Styela clava: one gene and its partner. The protein of the gene in region 1 interacts with the protein of each later gene in a pairwise test. Links are inferred from orthologs where the notes say so. Each region holds a gene or a part of one and is shown on either strand. Other genes may lie near its edges.

The links.
Region 2: the proteins of 26S proteasome non-ATPase regulatory subunit 14 (region 1) and large ribosomal subunit protein eL19-like interact in a two-hybrid assay, tested with the Caenorhabditis elegans proteins (2 studies listed by BioGRID). The link is inferred for Styela clava from reciprocal best matches to the Caenorhabditis elegans genes rpn-11 and rpl-19.

What each region holds. Positions count from the first base shown.
Region 1 is NC_135263.1:666,970-678,260, forward strand, and holds the start of 26S proteasome non-ATPase regulatory subunit 14, read right to left. Parts: upstream 4,366-11,291; 5' UTR 4,289-4,365; coding exon 4,163-4,288; intron 3,644-4,162; coding exon 3,566-3,643; intron 3,043-3,565; coding exon 2,930-3,042; intron 2,464-2,929; coding exon 2,313-2,463; intron 1,353-2,312; coding exon 1,245-1,352; intron 974-1,244; coding exon 873-973; intron 263-872; coding exon 163-262; intron 1-162. UniProt on the Caenorhabditis elegans protein: Metalloprotease component of the 26S proteasome that specifically cleaves 'Lys-63'-linked polyubiquitin chains. The 26S proteasome is involved in the ATP-dependent degradation of ubiquitinated proteins.
Region 2 is NC_135252.1:12,331,649-12,342,196, forward strand, and holds large ribosomal subunit protein eL19-like, read right to left. Parts: upstream 5,376-10,548; 5' UTR 5,361-5,375; coding exon 5,209-5,360; intron 4,563-5,208; coding exon 4,456-4,562; intron 4,161-4,455; coding exon 4,038-4,160; intron 3,876-4,037; coding exon 3,755-3,875; intron 3,572-3,754; coding exon 3,461-3,571; intron 2,695-3,460; coding exon 2,565-2,694; 3' UTR 2,499-2,564; downstream 1-2,498. Other genes in the region: endoplasmic reticulum junction formation protein lunapark-B-like, read left to right, coding at 331-450, 1,153-1,244; kinesin-like protein KIF28, read left to right, coding at 10,356-10,396.

The sequences.
Region 1 (11,291 bases):
CCCATCTTAAAACAACCAAATATCCCAATCCCATTTTAATACAACCAAATATCCCAATCCCATCTTAATACAACAAAATATCCCAAATCCCATTTTAATACAACCAAAAACCACTTCTAATACAACCAAACATCCAATTCCCATCTTAATACAACCAAATACCTTTTTATAATTTTTGGCCAACTGCAGCATATTAGTGACGGTATCTTCATTCACTTTACAATGCTCGCTGTAATCTGTCAAAGTCAGGCCATCGATCCAACTAGTAAACAAAAGATTTATTTTATTTTCCATGAATGAAATGAGAAGTCAAAACAGAGAAATACACCAGACTTCAAGTCATTTAAAAACTACCCAAACTCAGCGTTAACACAGATTATATGTTTGACTCAACTCAAGGCCACAGCAAGGTTGAGGAAATATTTTGACATCAACTTTGGCCCAAAACTACAAAAAAAAGATTCAATTATCTGTAGAGAATGCTTAGTTATTTTGATGCTCCTTAGAGTTGGTTTGATTACCACCATTTAAAGCAGGGGTGTGCAACCTTTAATACAGGAAGGCCAGATACCAATAACTGACTGAAATTGCGAGTCACATCTTTGTTTACCATAGGCTTTCTCGTAGTTGCAGTTACAAAAGTTTTCGAGCCAGCAGACATTGAATCTCATAGGCATCATGTATACACTTTGCAACATAAATTACTCGCGCATGTCAGATTAAACTAAATTAAAAACTGGCGTCGCAGGCCGCACACCATTCAAAATTGACACTGCGGGCCGCACAATTTTTCCTTGTGGGCTGCAGGTTGCACACCACTGATTTAAAGCACAAAATTTGAACCCCGAAAAATTTGAAATTCCAGCAAGAACCTTCTTTTATGCAGGTTGAGCAGCATCTTCTGTTCAAGTTCATTCTTTCTGTAGTTGATGGCAATCGAGTAGTAATGTCTGTTCAAACCGTGAATCAAAGCCTGGAAAAGATTTCAAGATGTTTCAAAACAGGGAATATTTTACTATTTCAGATACATTCTGGAGAATTAGGAGTGTCGTGCACATATTTCATTCTCCAATGTTTTGGCTGATCCTGAGTGTAACGTTATTGGCCCACCTAACCTAAATACAACTTGTATTTTCCAATCATTTTCTAGCTGTTATTTCCAATAATTAAATATAGAAAGATAATAATCAGTACATTCCTAATACTTAAGTACAACACACCTACCACAGTGTGAAATTTATTACCTGTATGGAAGGCTTCTGTAAATGTCCAAGGTTAGACGTTGTCTGCCGAGGTTCGTGGCCCAAGACCATCATGTTGGGGTTGATCAGTCGGAAAGCATCGATGACAACCTGGAAAGAAAAAGCTCAATCAAACTGAGAATTATTGGAATTAACAGACTATTCCTGCTACTCCAGTATTGTGTGTACCAGGTTAGGGTTAGGCCATAATTTTATTCCGATTTTCCTTATTTTAGTTCTATTGCGGGTTCTGTGTTAGCCAAGTGAATATATCCCCTGCCTATAGGTTTCAGTCCCTTTACACAACTTGATGTAAAATAAGCAAACAAAATTAGTTACCTCCGTATTGGTACACACACTTCTGGAGCGTCCTATTTTGCTACAGACCACTTTATGGAAAACAAATTGCAGTACTTGGTATTAGTTTTAAATGAATGTAATAATTTATGTGAATCTCCACAACACTAACATGGAAATATGCATTACAGTTGAAGAATTGAAAAATAATAATCGGTGAAAGTCTTAGCTAATGACTACCAGAGAATCGCCCGCCCATGGCCCCTAGAGCCCAGCTTGAGAGACCGTGGTCTGATTGCTTTCCTGTACCGAGCGTTATTTGAAGCAACAGTGAAGAAAACAATTATATTCTAGACCAGGGGATCCCAAACCAGGGGTCGCGACCCCAATTTGGGTTTGAGTGATAAGTAGGTAGGGTCGCAAACAGGTCATGGGGTCGCTGAGGTATGGTAGAGGATGGATGTACAAAGCATCTAAGATTTGACAAACCAAGTTAAATTTAGCAGTTTGTAGTCCATGGCTTACTTTAAAACAGGAACATAGGCATGCTTATTCTATAGAAAATGTAGGCGCTTGTTTGGTTTTAGCTTATTTTACTTAATACCACGACATGACCAAACTCAAAAGTCCAGTGAAACAAGCTCTAGAGTTTCATGAAATATATATATATATATTGACCTGGGGTCGCACTGGAAACTTGAAAGATGTATTTGGGGTCGTCCTGAAAAAAGCTTGGGAACCCCTGTTCTAGACATTTATAATGACAAGACTAACCTTTCCTTTAACGCTCTGAATCGGGTCGACCACGACGGCAACAGCTCGTTCGGACAACGCTTCGAAACTTTGTTGGGTGTTGATGTCCACACCAGATAGCCAGCAACCGAAGCCAGGATGGGAATGGTACCAACCTACCACCATTTCAGGCCTGTATTAAAAAAAAAATTTTATTAGTCATTTCAACACATTTATTAAAACCAAAACACACTGCATAAGAAGCATCAAGTGGTCAAACATGTTTGTTTCAAAAGTCCATGCGTTTGAAACGAATGACCAGCCAACTATGCCTCTGCATGAACTGGTAACCAGACGAAAGTCCTTGGTTCGCCATATGATTGAGAAAGAAAGAATTTTTTTTTTCGTTAAACCAGAAAACATATAAAATATATATGATAGCAAAATGGGAAAAATTAAGTTTTAGATGACTGGGTGGTATCGATACAACCATTCACAGTCATCTGAGTCAGATACCAGTACCACCCAAAACATCATTTTCTGGGCTTCCCACTCCCAAAAGGATAAATATAGAAATCCTGTTATTCTATTATCATCACGAAGCAAACAAAATTCCCCACACTTTCCTAAGTAGGCTGACACAACTAATATCAGCATACCTTCCAGTCTGTTTCAGCATGTCCAACATCTTGGCTTGAAACACCGGATCCACAGCTTCAACACTGACTCCAGTGCCAGACTGAGGCATTGCAAATACATCAATCACTCTGACCTGTTAAAAAGGATAAAATTTATAATCAGCCCTGACTTGTTCCGAGTTTTTATGAGGTGTTTTACTCCATCTTAACATCATACAAGCAAGCATTGTAAGCTTTTGGAAGAAGGCTTGGCAGTTTACACATCATGCTCATAGTTAGAAATATGCCTTCCATTGCACCTCCAAGTACCCGTCGCGAGTTCAAATTCTGTGTGAATGAACACTTCTTTTGACAACACTTTTCATCTAAAATTTGTACGTTCAAACCCTCACTTATTTATTATTTTGTTCACTTTCCTGATTTGCTAATCATATTTATTTTGTTTTCATTAATTCTTTTATTGCCTTTTATGCTGAATTATGAAGTCGTAATGAATTTATACCTAAATAGGGATAATTATATGCAGAGAAGATCGCTGGACTCCTTGTGTCTTCTGGTGTCATAGGGTAACTGAGTCTTGTTTGAAGTGAAAGGTGTATAAAAATACAGATATTCATTACAATCTTCAGTCAGTATTGAGTACAAACAATATCTCACCGTATAATCATCAACAAATTCTCCGAGCATCAAACCCATGACTTCCATTGGTACGCCAGCCCTGCCATGTTTCAACATCTGAAAAGATAAATTTATGTTAGTCTGTAAGTTGCATAAAGAGCCTGCAGAGGTTTATCCAGAAATTTGATTTATCTAACATTGTTTATGCTGTAACTTCATTGTTTTTGAGGGAATTTTGGAAGGGTAAGTGGCTAGTGTTGGATTCAGTGACCAATATACCTTCTTAGATTTTTCAACATTGATTAGGTTATTGAAATTAATCATTGCAAATTTAATACTTATCGCAAAGTGGGAAGCCAACCTAGTTTTTTTTTAATGAATACAAAAATATGATTAATTTATTCTGACTATATTATTATTCTAATTTTATTTTACATTTTACACTCACAGACCTAAGAGAGAAATTGAGCAATATAACTACAAATGAGTTTCAAACCATGAGACATAAAAAAAAGACATTTTATTTTGAACTACACCATGATAAAAAGAAGTATGATACACAAGACGAACACAGAAAATTTTGAAAACTGGCGTTTAAAACACAAGAAATAAAAAACACCAATCACAATTTCTCACCTTTAATAAAGCTAACGATGAAATATAAACTTGTTCTGCTGTGTCAACCATGGGAGCATCAGACTGGGGTTGTTGTCCAAATCCCTGAAGTCCCCCACCCGCTCCTAATCTCATTAACCTATCCATTCTTATATTTTAAATGTGAGCTGAAATGTGAGAAACAGCTCGTAGTTTCTTCATTAAAAAGTCTGAGATATGATAATTTCAAACAAATTAATATAGTCTAACTGTATAAGATAGATACTTTTGAAAACTCCATAATACAGATAATTATGTAAATCCTTCCTTCCTAAATACACTAATTAAAATGGAGAATTCTGCAGAGCAAGTAAAACCCTTGAAACAGCAAAAAAGTGAAAGTACCATGCTTCTGCTCACCAGCACACCTACAAAAAACACTTAAGCTATTAAAGACACTTAAGCTTTCTGTAACCATTCAGCTAGCAGGCTATTTTTTAATTTTATTTTAACTAGGCTATTATTCTATCACCTTTCATGCTAATCAAAATAAACCTGCTATTATTATAAAAAATAAATTCCATAATTTAGATACGCACTACTGTACTATACAACATTTTGACATTGCTATTTTTGAGTAATTTTTTTTACTTGTCAAGGAAAATTTCCTTTCAACATAAATCCTTTACCGGTACTAGTATTTTACAAATATAAACAATAAGACGAGAAAGAAGTACGGGTATGCCTGATACCCAATACAGTATATTCAAAATTAATAGAAAGGCAGAGTTCTAGAGTCAGTAATCAATTTTAATTTTTTTTTCAACAATTATTTTATCGTTGTTGTACAGTCAGACAGCTGTAGGCTTCTGATTTGAAATAAAACTTATACTTCAAAACTTACAGACTTAATGAATACAAGTGCCTTGCCAGGTCCCGTCCATAATGCCAAGTTTATCCAGATATTTTACTGAGGCATACCCTTACTACAAAAGCCTGAAACTCGCAAACTCTCCACTTGCAGACCTGTGTTGGGCATCAACAGGTAAAACGAAATTCAGGCACACACGATAATCATGACTAGGGTAAACGATATTTGCTTATTCATGGTATTCATTGATGCGTAACATAATTGAGTTGTAGCACGAGTCGAACACACAGAAACTATTTGGAAATAAGACACTACCTCTCACACGCAAGAAGTTGAAATTAATAAACATCAAAAAATGGTGATAGTGTATTGTTATTACTGTTCTTACTTACATTAAGAAGAAGAAGTATTCTTTTTTTTCGGGTAATCAAAATTAACCCACACTTAGATAGATAGATAGTTTATTTCGAAAACTCCACAATATGATAATACAAAAAAAATTAAAAATGGAGAATTCGAGCAAAACCTTTAAAAAAATTTAAAACATGATGAGTATCATGTGCCCGCTCATCAAGACGCACTTATAACAAACGCACTTATACCAAATATATGCGCCACTTGATCGTTAAATGACAATTTTTAACGACTGCTGTTGAATTAAGATACTTATACGTTATGAGTAAAAACGCGATATTCAATCATTTACACTTTGGATTATTTCGTTGAAAATTTTACAATTAAAATTTTCGCCTTCGTGCTACCCTAATCAAACGGCGCCCATGGAACGAGCAATGGCTCCCATACCCCAGAGACGCCACAGTATATTCCAATGGCTCCGTGACGCACTGACTTCGAAATAAAGAAATAGGAACCATGAAGGCGGCGGTTGTTCAGCAACCTGACTATTCCAAGGATTGTCTACTCCAGCGTTTCACAAACTATTTCGGCCACGGAACACTTACAATTTTTATCTCGCCTCGCGGAACACAAAAAAATGAAAGAGTAAAAGTAAAATGGATAAAGAAAAATGTTGTAGGCCTAATGTATATAGCGGTTCCCAATGGGTTCTCGTGGCAAGTTGCCAAATGGGCCGCGAAAACTAACAGAAGTGTGCTAAACATACCTAAAATATGATTGAATATTTCACAAATTGCATATATTATAAATGTTTTATTGTTTCTTAATTTAAATTAACGTAGTGTTTGCCCTTAATGTTACGTCTAATGGTGATAAAGGTGCTTGCCGCAATTTCGCGAGCGGCAAACCTGCAGTTTATTTATCTACTGAATAGAGTTTAGCAATTTTTTCAGCATTTCAAAGTAAAACCAAGCAGATATGGAGGAAGAAGAGTTGATCTTATGTCTTTATTCGGTGCTCCCGAAGTATGCGAACCAAGATGGCGGACATCGGAACGTAACATGGGTAACAGGTTAGGGTTAGGCGATAATTTTTTTCCAATTTTCCTTATTTTAGTCCTATTATCAGTTCGAAGACTAGCCAAGAGCCTCCCGTAGTATTTATACCTAAAATTATGGCCTAACCCTAACCTAGTACACATATTACATTCCGATGTCCGCCATCTTGGTTCGCATACTTCGGGAGCCCCCTTTATTCTTTAGACCTACTTGTTTGCATTTAGCAAAATCAGCAGCATAGCTGTAATGAACCTATCAGTCAACAAGCTAGACCGACGGTTAATGAAAATGCCACTACCCTATAGTTGGTTCACTTTAGGCCGACGATGACGCGATATCGAACGGTCAGTTGGGCGACAACTTCAGGTTCCATAAATCGCCATGGCGGCCATTTTAGACGTATTTTTAATGTTTTTACCACGGAACACAGTTTGGGAAACGCTGGTCTACTCTAATGTATAACCCAACTGGAAACCGACGACACGCTGTTGGTTTTCATGTGATCGGGTCATTTGTTAATTTTTCCTATAGGCCTACGTTTTACATTTTTTCTCTTTCATCATGACTCCATACATACTTCACTGACATATAAGAGGATACTAGCAATTGTGTATGACTTCAAACTTCAAGAGTCAAATGATATGTTTTCTTGAACATTTATCTAATGTTACGTTTTCTTTCTTTACTATTCGCATCGGAATATATCCTATGCAAACTGACTCACTACTCTGAAACGGGGAGAGAAATTGTTCTCTCTCTTGTGTATTTCTCAAATCTATCTCATCCAAGGAACTATTTGTAGATTAATCAACAAATGAGGTTTTAGAATGCTAGTCCCCCGTTTGTCCTGGCGCTAGGACAGCAAATATTGAAATATAATCTTTATAAGTTTATTTTTGACTCCACAGCTAGCATAAAAGACGATAAAATTATTGAAAAAAAATAAAAAAATAAATAAAACTGATTACAGAATTAGGGAACATATTTTGTATATTTTAAGCTTGTTGAAAGCAACACAGAAAACTATAAACACAATCTCGATTTCTTAAATCAACCATTTGAAAATAAAGCAGGAATGCATAGTTTAGATTAATTGATGAAGGTTGCATAAACAATAGAGCCATTAGTGAAAATAATCATGACTGGGCTAACCGTATATATGAACAGAAAGCCAGGACATTGTGAATTGAACAAACATTTATTCGATTCCAAGGCTTAGTGCTAACCAACTCATATTAATAATACTGAAATCATTGGGACACGTGCAATTTATTTTCTGCATTTTGATTAATTTAAGGGTGGTACAGCTATCGCTAGATGTCAAATTGTCATATTAATACAACCAAATTTTCAAAACCCTTTTTAATACAACCAAATGTCCCATTTCCACCTTAATACAACCAAACAATCCAATTCCCATCTTCATACAACCAAACAAGCCATTCCTTCCTAATACAACCAAATATCCAGTTGCCGTCTTAATACAACCAAACATCCCAAACTCATCTTAATACAACCAAATATCCGATACCATCTTAATACAACCAAAAATCCCAATTCCAATCTTAATACAACCAAATATTACAATTCATCTTAATACAACCAAAAATCCCAATTCCAATCTTAATACAACCAAATATTACAATTCATCTTAATACAACCAAACATCCCTATCCATCCTAATGCAACGAAATATCCCTATTCATCTTAATACAACCAAATTTCGCAATTATTATCTTTTATGACCAAATATTTCAATTCCCTTCTTAATACAACCAAATGTCTCATGCACATCCTAATATATCCATTTCAATCTTATTACAACCAAATATCCCTTTCCCATCTTATTACAACCAAACTTCCCACTTCCCTCCTCATTACAATCAAATATCGCATTCCTTCTTTAATACAACCAAACAATCCTATTCCCATCTTTATACAACCGAACTTCCGATTCTCTTCTTAATACAACCAAACACCTCGTCATATCTTAATACAACCAAATACCCTCTACCCATCTTAATACAACCAAACACCCCATCCCGTCTTATTACAACCAAACATCCTGGTCCTATCGTAATACAATCAAATAGAATTACTCAAAGCTGAGCTGGGTATGGAGTTTTGTGTACTGAGTACTTTTAACTAATGCTTGCCATGAATCAAATATCAGGTGCCTGTCGGTGTCAGCGCTATAGTTTGTTGTTCAAACAATTGGCATTGTTTAGTGTGGCGTGTCGAAGGTGTGTCGCATTGGTCTCGCAACCTGCTCTTAAATAAGTTTAGTCGAGGTTCATTTTACCGATATTCTTTTTGCGTTCAACTGACTTTCCGATCCAAACTTGGCACTTGAAATAATGTGTGCCGTCATATCGGTCTCTTTTTCTCGTTTTAAATCAACATTATTAGCTGAGAATGATGCTTAGAAGCTGGAGCCAATAAAATTTCTGGTAGCTCTGGCTCCATCTAACATGGCAAGCTTTTTCTTCACCAAAATGTCACAGCTCCATGGCACCGAATACTGCTACCCAGTCCTGATAATGAGAGTTTCCAACAACAACATTGCAACAATGTTCACCCTGTATGTGTTCACAAGCTCTAATCCTGTGGGATACGATTACGTGTAAGTAGATTACCAGTAACCATATGATCAATCCGTATCGTCAGCTTTCCTCTCCCCAAGATTAAGATGAAAATTCTAATCTTATATTTGTTTGAAGCTCTAATAAAAAAGTATTCTTCAGACGGCGCTCCGAAAGTATTTGTACCAAAATGACACACAACCTGGTACACATACTGTGTTTAGATTGTGATCAAACTTGATACGAATACTTCGGGAGCAACCTTCAGACCACAGAACAATGTCATATAACATGGGTGAGCAAGGTTTTTGGATCAGGGGCCAAAATTTTCGTCCACCTAGACTGGCGGGCCATGTAAGTGTTACGTACAAAGTTACATTTTATAAATAATAATTACAGTATTTCATAAGTAAAAGTGGAAAATCATAAGTCTCGTTCTAGGGATAAATTTAATAGCAATCTCAAAAAATTCTTTAAGCTATTTTTCAGCTTAAGCCTCAAAATTTGGTTTCAGTTGTTGTGGCAACATCAGGCGGGCTGAATTTGTACCGCGGGCCATATTTTGCCCATGCCAGTCATATAATCTACATGTTTCTACCAAACATGCATGCGCATAATAAACACAATTTGTGTTCGTCATCCAAGCAAAATGAATTTCGATGTGGAAGAGGAAATGACGTCCATGCCCATGAAAACAAAACCTGGCTAACTAATACCACATCCAACATGGACTGACTACCGGACTAGACCCGTGGTTCGTCACGTGTTTAAACCGTCTTATCGGTTTTCCTTTCCCCCGGGATAAATATGTAAATCCTATCCAAATTTACTTATTAGTTAGTTGTTGCAAAGTAAATGGCGGGAAAATGCAAAACTATCATATAATTCAAATTTTAGTTTCTGAATTGAACGTCCTTGCTTTAACTCTTTACAGTTAAATATAGCAATGGGAAATGACTCAAAGCAACGCAGACCCTTCGACTTACGCGTGGCGCAGAAACTTCAAAGTCAGCAAAATACGAAACCACGAAACTGCTCTCAAGTAGGTTGAGTCGAGGTTCATTTTTACCGATAATATTTTTGCGTTTAACTGACTTTTCGATCCAAACTTGGCACTTGAAATAATGCATGCCGTCATATCGGTCTCTTTTCCTCGTTTTAAATTAATATTATTAGCTGAGAATGATGCTTAGAAGCTGAAGCCACTAAAATTTCTGGTAGCTCTGGCTCCATCTAACATGGCAAGCTTTTCTTCACCAAAAATTTCATAGCTCTATGGCACCGAATACAGCTGCCCAGTCCTAATAATGCAAGTTCCCCAGCAACAACATTGCGACATTGCTCACCCTGGGCGCTCCGGGAGTATTCGTACCAAGATGACGCACAACCTGAAAAACCCAAGCCTGGTACACATACCATGTTCAGGTTGTGCCGCATCCTGATACGAATCTTTCGGAAGCGCCCAGGGTGAACAAGTTCGCAATGTTGGCAAGGTTTTTGGATCAGGGGCCAAAAATTTTGCCCACCTAGACTGGCGGGCCATGTGAGTGTTACGTACAAAGTTACATTTTATGAACAATATTTACAGTATTTCATAAGCAAAAGTGGAAAACAATAAACCTCTTTCCAGGAATAAACTTAATCGCAATCTCAACAAATTCCTTGAGCTATTTTTTTTTATCTCAAACCTAAAAATTTCACTAGGACTTAGTTGGTTGTGGCAGCATCAGGCGAGCCGTATTTAATAACTCAACGGGCCGAATTTGGCCCGGGTCGTATTTTGCAAATGTCAGTCATATAATTTACATGTATCTACCGAACATGCATGGGCATAATAAACACGATTTCTTTTTGTCAGTCAAGCAAGAGAAACATGGTTCGCCATACGTTTGGGCCGTATTATTGCCCGTCGCCCCTCGGGATAAATATGTAAATCAATCCTATTCCAATTTACCTAATAGCTAGATGTTTCAGAAGAAATGGCGGGAAAACGTAAAATGATCATAAAAATTGCTTCCAACTACATAATCAGACAATGGATGATTTAAATTTCAGTTTCTGAATTGAACGTCCTTGCTTTTGCCTTATTGCAGTTAAATATAGCAATGGGAAATGACTCGAAACAACGCAGACCTTTCGACTTATGCGTGGCGTAGAAACTTCAGAATCAGCGAAACGCAAAACCACAAAACTGCTCTCAAATAGGTTATGTCGAGGTTCATTTTTACCGATATTATTTTTGGCGTTCGAACGACTTTTCGATCCAAACTTGGTACTTGAAATAATGTATACCGTCCTATCGG
Region 2 (10,548 bases), on another chromosome or scaffold:
ACAAAATTCAATTCAAAATCCACTCAAGTCTATACCAGGAATGATGCTGCGAATTTTACTCATTTGACCCGCAGCAAAAATGTCCTTGGCAAAATAGTTCCAAATTTTCTTTCATCACATAGTCCATGCACATGAATTCTCTAGCATTGCAATCGTTCAAACTTTTTTAACTAGATTTTTGTTTTTGAGTCTCTGTAGAGAATTTCGACTCAAATCATCGCCATGGAAAGTTTGATATTTCAACGGTGTTAGGCTCAATACAGCCTGGTTTGATCAATGAAACAAGAGAACACGAACTTTTATTTCATCAACATGACTTATTTGTCACAGAAACTGCTCCTGCCAGCATTACAGGTGAAGAGGTGCAACAAGCATCAGTGAAGGAAGAAGTCCCTGATGTGGAAAGCAATGCAGATACTGACAATTCACAACAACCATCGGAGCATACAGGTAATGAGACGCTGTTTGAAGTGTAAGTAAACTCAGTTTACTTTGAAAACAACAAAATAGTACACGTAAGTTAAGTGTTGGGTTTGAGGAGACTCATGCGCGTCTCTGTTCTGGTTTTAGACACTGGGCAACTGCATCAAACGGATAAGAACCCTTTTTTCAATTTTAAGATAATCAGCGAACCTGTTCTGGTTTTAGACACGAGACCAGTTGTTCTCAACCTTGATTTCTTTCGTAGCCTGCTTTTGTTGCACAAAAGATTCTGTGCCCCATTAACTTTCTTGTGTGAGGGAAGAACTATAGAAAAACAAAAAAAAATTATTTTGTAAAGATAGACATCTCCAATTTAATAATTAAAATAAAAAATACCACTCAGTAGCAAAAAAAGCATCATTCATTGTTACTACAATGAAAATTTAACCAATTTATCAACAACTCTAGCAAATTTTTAATATGTTTGTGGCCCACCTGAACATGTTTCTGTGGCCCATTGGTTGAGAACCGGTGCACTAGACGGCAAACTGGTAATATGCACCACAGCTGATAACTAGTCCTCTTTTTGGCTTTGCGAAAGTCATGTTAATGTATCTACATGCATTTTCTAAAATGAGGGAACCTGTTGTTAGTGAGTTTGATACAAAATAGAATCTGTTCTTAATATTTTTAATCCCACACTTATAACTGACATCTTGCTTTTCACAGATGCAGAAGATATGGAAGTAGAGGACATTTCTGCTGGATCTAGTGTAACCAATGATGAAGCTGAGCAAATTCTTCCTGATACTTCCATCTGAAAGCTTTGTTTGCAACTTGAATGTTCATTGTGTTGAATACATATATAGTTTTTTAAACACATTCACTTTTTGATGGTTTTGTGTTATCCTTCCTGCTCAAATATTGGGGGAACGTTGGATTTTTAAATATTGCATGTTTGTGATCAGCAAGTACAAACCTTTTTTTCATGCCGAATATTGTAAGTTATCAAATCCTGTCTTATTTTTTCTACTGCCACTGTTCTTGCTTTACCATGAGTGATGTATATGCTGTGTTGTGTTCTTGTCAGAAATAAATGATACCACATCGATCATTGTCTATTTCCGAATCGATGGTATGGATATGGGACTTAGCTGGCGGCATGCGGTACCTCTGGTTACCCTGCGTTTGAATCATGGGGGGTAATTACGTGCGAAAGGAATGGAGGACCTCTTGCCGGCGAAGGGTGGTTCATGTAACTGCTGGTCGATTAGAAAAGTCCAATACCGGACATGGACTGGTAACTGGACAAGAGGATATGGTTCATGATAACTGAGACTAACTTGTCATGATCATTTTGTGTAACGAGTTGCTGTTCTCTGTCTAATTCAGAGCATTTCATGATATTTGAGAAAAACTTTGTGCTTCAGATCGATTCGTGATTTCAACTGGGTGTAGGATTTTACAAAAAAATGAAGAGAAACAAAATGGCTAAATAAAACCACCACCTCCCATTGCGTCATAATCTAGCGCACAAGCTTTTTCCCATAAATGAATAGTTGTGTTCTTCACTCCAAATTCCAAGAAAAGTTTGACACTTTTGTTCTTGAGTATCGCATCTGTCGCAAGTTCCTTATTATCTCTCGGACGTCACTTCCTTTCTGATTAATCACCACCTTGACAAGGTAATGCAAATGATGATGACAGAGATGATTGCACCCAACTAGCCAGGTCTCCACCTGAAGCAAGGCTTCTCAAACTGGATCCACCCATCACCTTTTGTTTATTGGCTTCTTATCACTAAACCAGGCAAACAAAATAACTGATGTGAACTAGTCGCAAACCAAAATAGTTTTCAGTTTCTGGAAGCAGGAGGCAACAGAGCATGAAACTTGGAAAACTATGGGAGATTTTAGGCAATATTTTTACCATCTTAATCATCCAGACCGATATTAAACCCCAGTTGCATATACCAACATTTTGACATAGGACTGGCTTTATTGCATTTTAATGACACCCACTTGACATAATTCCTGTCTAAACTATCTCTAACATACCCATAGAAACAAAAAAAGTATTTGCACTATTTGTTGTACAATTGTAGTGAATATAGCCACAGAAATTTAAAAGGCAAATAGAATTCACTCCTTCTTGACAGCTTCGTCCTCTTTTGCAAGTGCTGAAAGCATTTCCTTCTTTTTGGTCTGAATTCTCTCTTCCCTTCTTCTTCTGGCCTCCTTGTTCTTTTGGCGACGAGCTTCCGCCTGGTCACTGATTTGAGACAATGCAAAAATTTAGGAATAGTAAACAGCCGAATCAGGGCTGTGAAAGAAAACTTTCTGTGGACTCTGAATATGGGTTTTAGAAAACCCAGGCTCAGACTCCAGCTCTTGAGAAAATCAAATTTTGACAACAAAACTTCCGTATAAGCAAGAGTGTTCTTTAGTAATATACTGTTAATAATGCTTAGTAAACTACATTGTTCTTTGAGTTTCTTCGGTAAATTCTTTTATCAAGGTCTGAAACCCCTATTCCACAGCCCTGAACAGAATGTCTAATTCATACTAAAAGTAGCATTATCAAAATCATGCATCTGAAAATAGTAATATTTTGCATATTCTCCAACAAGGCGCAGCAACTTGAATAAAAAAAAAAAGAATTATATTCATAAAAGTGCACTAAAAATTTTCCACAGTGCAAAATTTATCCGTTTAACTTCACTGAAAAGTAAACGAAAATATCGGTCAGAGACCGAAGACTTGTCCATCGAAAGTTAGAGGATTCCTCAAAACAGCACTCTTACTCCATAGTGACACCTTGTGTCTCATCACTAATTAATTAATAACTCGCTAATTATACGACATAATTCGCCCAAAATCAATAGGCTTCTGGTCCGAGATAAGATGAATGCACATGCAAAATCTGGAGCAGGTCCAATCTCGCTTTCGTGAGATATCGCGTGCATCTAACAGACAAACAGATACCTACTTACCGATTAAAATCGATAAGTAACAATTGATAATAATTATTTTCTTACATGAACATCTTTGTTCTCGACTTCTTGGCCTTTTCTTTGTGAATATGTTCCATAAGGATACGCTTATTCTTGAATCCATTACCTTTAGCTTTCAAGTAAAGTTCATGGTACCTATAAAATGAAATTTAGTCGATAAGATTAGTAATAATTTTTCAGCTTCATGGAGTTTGATATCGAACGAATTGACGAAGAGGTAGTTCGATTAGATAACAAAAATCATTTGAGGTAAGATTTAGGAATTTTTAAGAAACGAATATGCAGCAAAAAAGGGCTAATAGTGTACATTCTACATACATATGCTTGTCGATCTTTTTCGATTCTCTGTATTTTCTCAGAAGACGTCGAAGAACTCTCATTCGCCGAATCCAGATTACTTTTTCAGGCATACGTGCATTTGCAGTACCCTTTCTTTTACCTATTTGCAAAAATTAATCAAATAAATAATATTATTTTAATTCAATTTTTTATATAAAAAACTCCCGAATTCTACTTGACCAAAAATATCTTCACGAGTTAGAAAAGCTTAAATGTGATAATTTCACAAGTTTATATATAGAATCATGTCATTGATTCATACCTCGTCCTGTGTGGCGACCTTTTCTACGAGCGATTGTATTCTTTCGCACTCTTGCACGAGAATGAACAGCCACAGGTTTTCGGATAATCAGACCATCTTTGATCAATTTACGAACATTTTGCCCTGTGAAAATGAAATGTTACACATAGATGTGAATCCGAATCTAATAATTAAAAATATACTTAAATAATATCAAAATTCTAGCTTATGTCAGATTTTATTTATTATAAGAAAGGTTTATATTTTAATGTTAACAGATTTATGTTACCAACTAATATAATATTTTAAATAATACTATGTGTGAGAAGTCTTTGAAAAACTTTGTCTTGGTGAAAAAGTTAAACTGCTGTATATTTCATCTTCTAAATCAGAATGAGATAAAGAACAAGCTATTAAAGGCGGAGGTGAAAACTCTTACTTGAATTGGCATTTGAAATCATGGAAGTTTCATTTGGATCCAACCAAACTTTATTCTTCCCGCATTTCATAACAGCAGCGGCAAGCCGCTTTTGCAGTCGAAGGGTGCTAGAACAAATAAATGAAATATTCAAATTTAAATCATTATGACACAATGCAGATAAATCCAGAGCATTTATCTTTCTACAGATCAGTGTATCTTCTATAACACTGTACAGTCAGACAGTGGTGAGAAGGAACAGTACACACGCGTAATACAAAATGAGTGTGAATTGACTAGGCAAAGACAATTCAAGTATACTAGGTTTTTTTTTCCTAGAACAGTTGCTGATATATCAAAAACCAGTCCGCCTTTCACAAAGTTAAGACCTGTGTCTGAGCACTTATAGGCTAGCTGGTGAGCTAAAACAAACACTCTTCCCAGTAGAGATACAAATGTATAAAATGGCAGCAAACAATGATTTTACAATAACATAATATTGAAAACTATCATGCCAATATTCATTCGATGAAACACACCCCAAAGGACTATTCACTTGTTGCATTACATGGTCATGTCTGAGAGTGGAAATGGGCAGAAAAATATTCTTAATTACAACACTCCTGATGACACTGCAGGAAAAATAACTAATATTCTAACGGCAACGCAGGGCATCTAAATGATATTTGATAATTTTTCATTCTTTCTATACAAATTCCAACCCCATTATAATGCAATAAAAAGAGAAAATGTTCAAATATTGTTGAAAATTACCTCATGACTGCCGATTTCCCGATGGCCACGCTAAAAGGATGGGGAGAGCCAGAGATTGGTAAAAGTACGCCAACTGGTGGATATTCTGAATCGGGGAACAACAACACAAAGATCATATGCCAACTGACTTTGAAAATCTTGTCCGTAATCATTTTTTTGTGGAGATATGAGAAGGATTCAGAATTTGTTATTAGCGCAAGCGAAAAATCAGGGAGTATTAATTTGTTTAGTTACCGTCTCAAAGAAGACTACTGCGGTTAGGAACAATGGTTATGGCCGTGCGTTTATTTTTGTTCCTTTCATCACTATTCACATTATAAACGCCAAGTATGAAAGCATTACTGTATTTAAGTATAAGTTTATTTGGACTCAATCAGCATAATAGGCAATAAAATGATTAATAAACCCAAATAAATGAAAACTGATTAGAAAACCAGAAGAGAGCAAACAAAACCTTAGATAAAGTTTAAATCGTACAGAATATGAGGTGGAAGGTTTTACCAAGAAGAAGGTGCTTTTTCCCTCACCTAAACTTATCAAATTTATTCATAGACACTCACAAAATTATTTCCAATTGTATGTAATAGAAAACAACAGCTCGTGAAATCTATATTCTCAACTCTGAGGCACCAACGATTAGTAGCCTACGGTATGTGGATTCCAATATGTCATGACGTGATCAATGATCTCGGATTATTTCTTTTAAATTAAATTAATATATCCATGCATGTCGAAACTGTGATACATTATGGCTTTAAATTTACGCAGCAATTGTGGTAAATAGTTAATGGGAGTAGGGCAGAAAAAAGGTATAAATTGTGTTTTATTATGTGCCAGATGTTTTATATAGAAATGTAAACTTCGTGATGAAAGGCCTCAGTTTTGTCAATTTTTATATATGACAAAAATTTTTATTTACTGTGAAAAAGCTATTGCAACTAAAAAAGGCAAACTGTTAATCCATAAGAAGAAGTGGAAAACTATCATAAGCTGTGTTTTTAAGTGCAATTGTATTTTGACATTGTGTCTATATAAATGTGATGTCTTTATTAATAAAAAAAATAATATATCCTGTTATTTACATATAGTAGTTTACATGTTCATTAAGTACATATTAATTAGAGCAATGGAATTAGTAAGTATTTATTTTCGTTTGCTATATTTTTTAATGTATGAGCAAACACTCCTCCTATCTCCTATTTGTGTCTCATATTTTATTTTTTCTTCTTGTATGTAACTCAATCAGACTGCGGCCCTTTGACGATCAACATGATTTTTAGTGGCAAATTGTCAACCATCATTTTTATTTTGAACGGGGGCAAAGGCGTATTGTTTCTAAAACAACAAAATATCCGCTCTCGGATTGGTGGCGACGGGGAGGCGGGTAAATGTTAGGATGTTTTACTTTCAATTATCCTACTTACCTCGGGTACTTACTCGATAGCTATGACTGTGAACCAAATTTTACAAAGCAACTCATCGAGTATTAGTTTATTTATTCAATTATATATATGTATTGGGTGGTGACTGACTCAGATGGCCTGAATCAGGGGTCTGCAACATGCGGCCCGCGGGAAAATGCGACTCATAAGGAAATTTGTGCGGCCCGCGGGGAAGTGCTAATTTTGAATGGTGTGCGGACCGCAAAACGAGTTTTCAATATAGTTTAATCTGGTAGGAGTAATTCCAATCCCCATGCGTTGCAAAGTTTTTATTATCTATGCCTTTGACGTTACACTGCTCTAACAACTAGCTTGTGCGAAGCGGACAACGCATGTCATAAGATCAATAATCAAAATTTTTCTGCCTTCAACTACTAGCAAGCCTATGTTGGCCCGCGGTTTCATCTAGTTATTTGTATCTAGCCCCCTTTATAAAAGGTTGCAAGCCCCTGACCTAAATCGTTACCATCCAGTCAGCTACCGAAAATTTTTGATTCCCTTATTTCATTATTATTTTAAATAGTATGTGTTTGCTGGTTTGACGAAAATTAAATGACGTCAAAGTGTCCTTTTACAAAACTTAATTGTGTGACAGCTTGAAGCAGTTAAAGTCCTATACTTTTACTACTGCATGTAATATGTAGGCTATGTTCTTTTGTCTCAATAAATAAAAATCGTATATATATAAATAAAATCTTTAGGAGATTACAGGACAGGTCACACGAACAGATCATGCCAATCCAAGTCACGATCGTTACTGTCCAGAGGCGTAGCCAGCATATTTTGCGCGGTGACCGTACATTTGAACCCACGTACATTTGAACCCATGCGTGTATCCACGGGTTCAATTTATATGCGGGTGCTAAAACCCATGGGTTAGGGTTAGTATGGGTTTAACTATCCGTGAAACAGAAAAAATTCCATAGGTGCAATAGCATACAGGTGCAATTGTCATGGGTTCAAATGTACGTGGGTTCAAATGTAATGGAACCATTTTGCGCCCGGGGCAAAATATAAAATTGGCGCCCCGACCCCCACGTTTAATCATGTTTTCTATTGCATTTAATTGTATATGTAAAAAAAATTATATTTCGTCACGCTAATAACCGAATTGCGTAAGTCATTTTTAGCTGTTTTGAGAAAAACGTAAAAATACTTCCTAATGATATTGCTATGCCATTGAGAGTCTTTAATTTGCCATAGTTCAACTTTTTGATCGTAGCCGGATTTAAGTTAATTTGTATGACGCAGTCATGTGACGTCATAATGGCACACTGTGATTTAGGCAAAAATGTGTCTATGGCTAGAGGACATACGCAATTTTGCAACTTGTCTATATGTACCAGTCCTGAAAACCAAACAATCCAAAATAGCTAATCTGTTTCAATTACATTATTTTTTATGTTTAAAAATATATATTTCATCAATATAACACGCTCTGCACATCACCGAAATAAGACTAAAGTTAAATATAAAGAATAAAACAGTAATGTACTCTTATATAAAAGTCAACCAAGGTGAATTGGACTCAGACAGTAAATATCACAAGTGCACGCCTTCCTATACAGTAGTATAAATTGAAAATTATTAGCGCTAAGCTAGAATCTGAGATGCAAAAACTCGAAAATCCTTCGCCTAGGTTATTTTGCCTTCGTGACGTCACAATAGTCCTGCGTTAACAATGATAATTCATTATGACGGAACAATTGAACAAATTTGCGTATCATACAAAATTTCTATTTTTATGGGTTTCGGAATTCTTAAAATAAAATCTGAGTTAACAGACAGGTGCGCAGCATTACATAAATACCTATTTTATGAAAAATTCAAAACCGCCCAAAATGACTTACGCAATTCGGGTATTAGCGTGACGATATGTGAATTCAAATTTATATGTATTTATATATTTTATTATTTATTCAAAAATATATGTATATGTAAATTCAAATTTTAATGGAACATTTTATTTAAAGAAGAGGCAAAGCTATACAAAATAGAGCATATGTCCCACTCAGTTACTGTCAAAGATGATCTGGTACAAAATCTGTTTTTTTCCAATGTTTCTCTTTCAACACTTAGAAATGCAAGATCACGGAGACGATCCTGTCCCGTTGATGCACGCGAATACGACAAAATAAGTTTCAATCTGCTGAAAGACCGTTCACAGCTTGCAATTGAAACTGATATTGTTAACAAAATTTGTAGAGAAATTCGTAGATTGAATAAAACGTCGTCTCCAAAAGACACAATAAAACCAAGAAGAGCCGAAGGAGTTTCTGGTTGATCTACAGTTCTGTTACTGAGCAGCATTCTGCAATCTCCAATTTCGGTGAAAAGTTCGTGGCCATTGATGTCCGTGTGGTAGAGATTTGCAAAATCTGTGCAATCTCGACGAATTGTCGAAAACGGCATTGAGGTCTTTTAGCACAGTATAATATATTTTATGTAACTCTGCCGCAAAGTACGGTACTTTGACAACAAAATACAATCCACGTATTACTCAAAACATGTATTAACATCATTCAACCAAATTCCGTTTCCATTTGTCTCCAGCACAGAACTAATATCAACTTACATCCGAGTGCGCAGGCAAGAACTTAACGATACAGAACCACGTAATTAACCCGGTGCATTTTGTTACCTAACGTTACCAAATCAAATTTTGCTTTGTTTTCCGGCCAAATTTTTTTGGCCATGTAATTACGATGGAAATCTGACCGTGCTATGTGCGTGATGACGTCGGCAGTCGTAAGTGGTCTGACCAAGTGTGCAATTTGCCATGTACTAAGATTAGATGTCTGCCGCCGGTGCGATCTTGCTTGTGACCGTTTTTTACCTTTGTTGTGAAATTTTTGCCAGCCCCATTTTGGCGCCCCTGTACCTTGGCGCCCGGGGGCATATGTACCCCACTGCCCCCCCTAAGCTACGCCTCTGTTACTGTCACTGTATTTTAGTGTTGACTTCAAACGAACAACAAACTTTTTCATAGCCTAAATTGCGTTATAAACATATAATAAATTGTGTGGAGCATCATAGTTTGTGATAATAGCAATAAAAAAAGGAAGCAAAGCGTTCCTATTGTTAATGATTGAGGATTCCCAAATAAGTATTGTGAGCTTGTCAAAAATGACTTATCATACATGCTCAACTTAAAACCCGTATAAAAAATATTCACAAACAAATTGTAGCATCACAGCTCTCATATATGCTAAGTGAAGAATCATGAAGCATTGTTACGTGTTGCGAGTCATGCTCGACCACACATTGGCGAACCTATTGTCAACCATTTCATATTACAATATGCGGTGATATTCGAGAGTATACGCACAAACGACTCCTCGAAATATTGTTGGAAGCACAATAGCAATCAATTAAAAGAACATGACAACCCGTAATAGTTTTGGATACTCAGACCGTAAAGATTTTGTCTAGCTAGCTTTGCCTAATTAAGCAAACAAGGATAGTTCCCCATGCCGAGATTACGCAAACAGTCAGCAAAACGAGAGCCAACGGTCTCATCAGTAGCATTGACTAGGTTTGCATTGTCAGGAAAGCATGTGAATTTTAGACAGTTGTCTTTTTATTAGATAATAAGAATATTTCACCATTATTCAAATAATTAGTTTTTCTATATTTTTCTTCCAACAGGAACTATTTTAAAATTATCCTAAAGATAATTGTTCGGGACATTCCGAATCCACAGAGATGGCTGAAAATGTTAAAGTTGCTGTCCGTGTGCGGCCATTCATATCCTTTGAATAAAATGAGTTTTCTGCCGAGCTAACTTGTTTTAGTGATTGCTATTTCTTCTTTACAACATACTTGTGTGCCCTTTGAAATACGCAATCACGTTTCCCTTCAGGACATTTCTATAAAATCAATATCCCGTATTCTTTGA